Linked DNA regions of Coturnix japonica. The protein of the gene in region 1 binds, or shares a complex with, the protein of each later gene. Links are inferred from orthologs where the notes say so. Each region holds a gene or a part of one and is shown on either strand. Other genes may lie near its edges.

What was found.
Region 2: POLR2H (region 1) and GTF2H5 share a complex: the UniProt entries of both Homo sapiens proteins name them as parts of the TBP-based Pol II pre-initiation complex. The link is inferred for Coturnix japonica from reciprocal best matches to the Homo sapiens genes POLR2H and GTF2H5.

The regions. Positions count from the first base shown.
Region 1 is NC_029524.1:13,963,239-13,966,284, forward strand, and holds POLR2H (DNA-directed RNA polymerases I, II, and III subunit RPABC3), read right to left. Parts: upstream 1,866-3,046; 5' UTR 1,802-1,865; coding exon 1,729-1,801; intron 1,620-1,728; coding exon 1,536-1,619; intron 1,459-1,535; coding exon 1,365-1,458; intron 1,240-1,364; coding exon 1,156-1,239; intron 1,040-1,155; coding exon 922-1,039; 3' UTR 521-921; downstream 1-520. UniProt on the Homo sapiens protein: DNA-dependent RNA polymerase catalyzes the transcription of DNA into RNA using the four ribonucleoside triphosphates as substrates.
Region 2 is NC_029518.1:46,900,661-46,904,410, reverse strand, and holds the start of GTF2H5 (general transcription factor IIH subunit 5), read right to left. Parts: upstream 2,536-3,750; 5' UTR 2,436-2,535; exon of another isoform or gene 2,309-2,435; intron 2,171-2,308; 5' UTR 2,089-2,170; coding exon 2,054-2,088; intron 1-2,053. Other genes in the region: protein SERAC1, read left to right, coding at 3,660-3,750. UniProt on the Homo sapiens protein: Component of the general transcription and DNA repair factor IIH (TFIIH) core complex, which is involved in general and transcription-coupled nucleotide excision repair (NER) of damaged DNA and, when complexed to CAK, in RNA transcription by RNA polymerase II.

The DNA.
Region 1 (3,046 bases):
GGCTATCACACGGCCCACAGAGGTCAAAAGCAGCCATACCTGTGCAGCACGAGGCACATGCCCTGCTCCTATCAGACTGTGAATGCTTTACAATTAAAGACCTATTTTTCTAAAGGATTGTTTGTGTCTTCCTGTTCCCCCTGCTGTAGCACTGGCCTAAGGAGCATACACCAGTCTCTGGGGGAGGCAATAGCTGGGGAACAAACGCTCCTGATTTTCCCAGTGTCCAGCTCCCTCCTGTGGTGGCTGCCATCTCTGCAGGGCAGGTGGGCTCAGCTGGGGATGTGAGATAATAATGCCCCTTGCCTTCCAGTATCCACCTGCCAATTTCACTGTGCTGAGCTCTGGGGTCACACAGCATCACTCAGACTAGGCCAAGCCCCTCCAGGAGCTGCAGCTTGAAAGCCAGTGCCCCTGATGTGGTACCTTTGCTGTCTGCTACCACAACATCCTCCATGAGCATCCCATCTTCATCTACCAACCGGCATTCTGGGAAGCCAACCTTGCCACAACAACCACATCTAGAAAACACATAGCAGTTTAATTAAGAAGCCACATCTGTCTCAGAACAGCTCCTTAGAAAATGATGCCCAGCCCTAGCACAGACAGGTGAGTGCCCCAGTCCAGCGGCCCCTGGTTAGAGCTGGGGCTAAGCCTGCTTTTGAAGTGCAGGAAGGTGAGATCAGCAGGCAGGGCCACAGAGCACCCACGGTCTCCACTGAGAATGAGGCATCAGCCCCTGCACAGAAGGGAAACAGTCAGAAAAGACTGGGATGACAAAGGGGGAAAGTCCCCTCCTCCACCACCACTGGAGGGACTGGGCAGCAAAGGTGCTGGGGCAGGATTTGGGGTGATGGTGTCCTTTCTGCTCTCCAACAGAATGTCTCTGGGGGCAGGCAGCCCTCTGAGGTGCATCATCTCCTAGAAGGCCAACTTCTTCATCAGCAGGTAAACTCTGGAGTCCACTTCAAACCCATGCAGATTGTTTGCGTCTCCCTGAAGGCGCATGAGCAGCCCCCCATAGGACACATAAGCAGAGCTGGGGCAGGAGGAGAGGAGCAGTGAGAGCAGGGAAACCCATAGGAGACCCAGTCAAGATAACGCTGCCTCCCCACCACCCTCAGGCAACGCGTCCCCTTCTCAACAGCCACTCACAGGCGTGTGGCTGCCTCTGTGGACGTCTCATCCCCCTCAATCCTGTACACCTTGCCATACATCACGTACTCAAACTGGTCCGCCCTGCAATGACATGAGGGGAGCTGAGAGAAGCGTCAGACCATCCTTCCCACATCCCCTAACAGAGCATCCTCTGCGAGGAGGCCCCTTGTAGGAGGGGTCTCTCCCACCACTGCGAGCCACGTTACCTGGAGGGCCGGTCATCAGTGGGGTTGTACTCCCCATCATCCAACGTCCCATCCTCATACAGGGTGCTGGCAATGACCAGACGGAACTTGTCCCCTGGGAGGCGATAACAAAGCAGCGCTCAGAGCGCACAGCCGGAGCTGCCCCCCCCCCCCTCCCCGCCCGTCCCGTACCGAGATCCACGGGGTAGATCTGGATGTTGACGTCCAGGATCAGATCCATCTTGAACGACTCGCTCTCGCAGTGCAGCCGGGACACTGAGCGGGCCGGGACGGGGCGTCAACGGGAAGGGCCCGCCGCACCCGGCCCGGCCCTCGGAGCCCCGGGTGGGAGGAAGGGGCGGGGAGCGGGGGGGTCGTATCTCACCACGGTCGAACTTCTTCCCCTCGGGGTCGATGTCCTTCACATCGAAGATGTCCTCGAACAGAATGCCGGCCATGGCGGCGCCCCTTCGCTCCCGCGCCGGCTCCCGCTGCGGCGCACGGTGATGACGTGTTTCCACATCCGGAAACCTCATTCGTGGTGGGCGGGCAGAGGTGCCCGCGCGGTCCTAGCGCCGCCGGCAGCGCCCCCTGCAGGCTGGGGGGGCGCACTGCAGCGCAGGGGGCGGTAGGGGGCGCTGCGCGGCCGCGGATCGAACCGCGTGGGTCGGGGCAGATCCACGGCGGGACGGAGCTCGGAGCTGGGCGGGGGGCAGCAGCGTCACCCCACAGCCCACCCGTGTCACACCCCACAGCGTCACCTTCCCTCCGTGTCACATCCCCGGTGACACCCAGCTCCTACCGCCAGCCCCCTCCCCAAAGGGCTCAATGCGGCCGGGCTGTGTGAGCGGAGGGATGCGCTGGTACAGAGGGACACGGAGGGACACGGAGGGACACGGAGGGACCCGGGTTGGCGGCCCCGCACCTCCGGGGTCGAGGAGCCGAGGTTGGGGTGGGCAGCCCCCACACTATAGCACCTGCCCGGTGCCGCCGTCTCCTCCTTATCTGGAGCCAAACAAGCCCATCCGGCACCTGGTGCCGCTCAGAGCACACAGCACCAGCCCTCAGCCCGCCCCCAACCTGCACGGATCCCACAGACCGTCCCCAGGTGCTCTGCAGCCCCCGGTGCGCCGGGATATATGAAGGGATTTTGGGGGGGGGGGGGGCACAGCTCTGCCTTGGTGCACCCCAAAGCATCCCAGCATACAGTAGGACACACCGGGGGTCCCTCCATGTGGGCTCTCCCCAGGCTGGGAGTCCCATTGCTCACAGTGCCGGGCTGTGTGTGGGTGGGGAGGTTTAGCCGTGGGGCTGTTATCTTTCACTGATAAATTATACAACATGAGCACGGCTTTGAACGGCGGCCAGGCCTCCATCCGGTGGGGCAGCATTGGGGGGCCAACACAGCCTCCAGTGCTCTCTGATGGGGGGGATGGTGATGGAGATGGGGCCGTGGCTTTGGAGTGAAGGGCTGATGGGGATGGGGTCTGCACACAGAGGCAGAGCAGGTGGCAGAGCCACGGCGGCACCTGGGTGGTTGGGCAGCCCCAAATCCTGCACCCTAAATCCCTGCCCTCTCCCCAAAGCCTGCCCGGCTCGGGGGTGGGAGCGGTGCTTCAGAGGCGGCCGCGGCCCCTCTTATCTGCGGGCACAAAGGAGCCGCGGCACCGCCGTTATGGAGCAAACAGACCTGGGGAGAAGCT
Region 2 (3,750 bases), on another chromosome or scaffold:
TGGTCCTCAGTCTTCTTCCACACACTCTTTTTTATGGGTGCACAGAGGTTTATTTTTGCTTGTTTCTTTCAGATGTACCTTACCAACACACTATGAGTACCAGACAGCATAAGCTGGTGTGCCCAGGCATATGTCAGGCAATACACACATATTTTCACATAATCAACATACAGGAGTGCACTCAGTGCCAGTAGATGTACGTTACAGCAGAAACACCGATCTTATTCAGCATTTGAAGATTATAATCCTTGAGATTTTGTCCTCAGAACAGTTTAGCTATATACTGGAATAATACAGAGGGAAGGAAGAAATCTGTATATTATCAGCATTTCATAGTTTTATTTTAATGTTTTACTTTAATGTTTAACACATTCAGAAGTATTTATTTTTTCCAAACTTCTTGCTGACTTTTTACCTAAGATGCCCTGGAAAAGCTGAGTTGTGAAAAATTGGTATCTGAAAAGTAAACAAGGGGACAGGTTTGTAATCTGCTCTCAGGATGGACTCATCAGCTACCATTATGCAAAGGCAAGAAGGAAACAAGAAAGCAACCAGCAGCTAGAAAAGCCAACATAAAAGTGAGTTACCCAAGGGGCTGTTCAAACTCTGATGGCATAACAGATGCTACAGACTTCTTGTCAGGCAAACTATTTCCTTCCAGGGAGGATAATAAAGTTTCAAGCTAATACTAAATGGGAAATGATCACAATATTGTACAGGAACACACAAATCTTCCAGAGCAAGTAAAATAAATTACAAAAAAACTACAAGGCTGTACTGTCTGCTTGAGATATTAGAATTTCTTGTTTTGCTAGTCAACAACTCTGCTTTGGGTGTCTTGAGAAAATGCAGGAAGGCCATTTCTTGCGTTCAGGTTTATCAGCATAGTAGCACGCAGCCAAATTGGAGCAGAGAAACTTTTTGTGATAGTGGAATTCATGCTCCAAGCTGCTCATACCAAACTATGAGGCATTCAGATGTGAGCTGGCTAATGTCCAGTCAGCTCAGAAGTAAACCACAGTAGGCAGACAGCTGTATGCACCATGAAGGATGTTCTGCACTCATGCAGTTACAGTCTGTTAATATGTTTACAATTTAAACATACAGCAGAAATCCTGTACATAATGTAATGATATATAATGACTCCACAAACCTTGAGTGACACTTTCTTTAACCTGGAGGTAATTCTTATCAGAACCTTAGTCTAGGGACTTCAGACTGTATAGAAACAAATGGACTGCACGGATATGAACAGCTTACTGTCTGAAATTATGAGCATATTCATTTTAGAGTAGCCAGCCTTGAGTGTGCGAACTGGAATTGATAAAAAAAGAAAACAAAAGACGAAGCATGGACAAATTTCCCTTTAGAATCAGAACACATCACCCAGGATGAAAACTAATTAACATTATTTACAATATAACAAACAAGATGAATACATGATGGTTAAGTCTAAGCAGAAAACAACATATCTGAAAATATGAGTCAGGAATTAAGATTACCCACAACTGTCTCTCTCCTTCTTCCCTTAAAAACCATGCCTTTCATCTGTCTGTTTGCTCAGTGTCACAGAATCACAGAATGACCCGGGTTGGAAGGGACCTCAAGGATCATGTAGTTCCAACCCCCCTGCCTGGCAGGGCCACCAAACATACACATTTACTAGATCAGGTTGCCCAGGGCCCCGTCCAACCTGGTCTTGAACACCTCCAAGGACGGGGCATCCACAACCTCCCTGGGCAGCCTGTTCTAGGGCGTAACCACTCTCCTAGTGAAGAACTTCCCCCTAACATCCAACCTAAATCTTTCCTCCTTCAACTTGGATCTATTGCCCCGTGTCCTGCTATTGTCAGCCCTTTCGAAGAGTTTACTCCCCTCCTGGGTGTAGGTTCCCTTCAGTTATTGAAAGGCTGCAATAAAGTCACCCCGCAGCCTTCTCTTCTCCAGGCTGAAGTTTACAGCAAATACATTTTTGGGTCTAGACTCTTAAAAGCACCTAAAGTATTTCCAGTCCTAAAGAAACAGTTGAGTAGATGCTGATGCTGTCACTAACCATTCAATCAGGACGCCCTTCAGAACATTCACCATCCTCGCAGCTCTCACAAACGCTGCAAGGTGCGGGTGGCAGCAAAGACTCCTGTTTGAGGTTACAGATAACAGCAGATGAAACCTGTAAGACAAAGAAACGCTTTAGTTGAACTCAGCGACCCAGGACCCCCCTCGCCCCGCCAGCACCCAGAGCGGCTATGCCCCATCCCCCCACCCACTCCTCCGACAGCAGCCCAGCCTCCCGTTGCCGTGTGCGAACCGTGGCCTTGCGAAAGGCGGCCGGGGCGAAGGCAGACAGGCTCCAACCCGTCCCTAGGTTAAACCGAGGACGGCGAACGAGTAGCTCCGGCCCAGCAAGCCCAACCACTGCCCCCACATACACGTACTACGCAAGTGCAGCCCTCGCTCCTCCTATTGCCCTCCTGACACTGTGCGGCGTGATGACGTTGAGTGCGTGAGCGACGGTGCCGGCTGCGAAGGGAGATAGGAAGCGGAAGGTACGGGTAGCGCTGTGGAGAGAGGGGGATGGCGGCGGGGCAGTAGGAGGGGCCAGGGATGGGGTCTGTCCGTGGTCCGATGATTGTGTTTGTCAAACCTCAGCCTTGAAGCCCCTCCTGGCGTGGGGCTGGCCGCTGGCATTGCCCCAGTTGTGCGGAGGCGACCGCAGGGAGAGCGTGCTTATCAGAAATGTAATAAATGAAGTCAGTGGATAAGTGCAGTGCTGAAAGGAGACAGGGCAGAAAGTTGGTGCATACAGTAATCGGTGCTTTCACATGGCCTGAAATGCCTCATTGCTTAACACTACAACTGTACATTCATTGAACCTCAATCTGTAGATGCTAAAATACATCCCTTATTAACTGTGATGTTACAGGGTATGTCAGCAAGAAAAGACAAACGTTTCCAAATCTGACTTGCCTACAATGTATATGAGTTGTTAGAGCCTGCTAAGTCAAAATACAAGACTTGGGTGTTAAGATAAAATTAATTATGAACAGCTAATTACTAAGTCATATGCTGTACTCAGCACTGTCTTCATGTGAACATGATGCGTTTAAGTGAGGATTACTAAGACATTGGAAAAGGCCTCACACAGAATCACAGAATTGTAGGGGTTGGAAGGGACCTCTAGAGATCATCGAGTCCAACCCCCCTGCCAAAGCAGGCTCCCTACACCATGTCACACAGGAAGGCGTTCAGGTGGGTCTTGAATATCTCCAGAGAAGGAGACTCCACCACCTCCCTGGGCAGCCTGTTCCAGTGCTCCGTCACCCTCACTGTAAAGAATCACAGAATCACTGTAAAGAATCACAGAAAAATGCCTCTGCCTCAAAGCAGAGCAGGTAGTCAGAGATGGATACTTACCAGTATTAGCACAAATATGTAATTGCATGAAGATTTTCTGTAAACTTTTGCTGTAACCAAAATGCAAACTACTAAATTCAGGAGTTTATAGGCTTTTTAATTTTTACTTAGAGTGCTTTATAACGCACAAAATGACATAAATATGCTTTACAACCTTTCCTGTAAAAAGGGAAACATGGCTACAAGTTTTCTGTTGTAATTGCCAAATCAATTTATTTATTTTTTTCTTTTTCTGAATATACAGAATGTCAGTGGCTGCTTACTGCATATTTTGCTGTAGACAAATAGGAACTTCTGGCCCAGCCACCAAACACCACCCATCTTGGAATAATATAA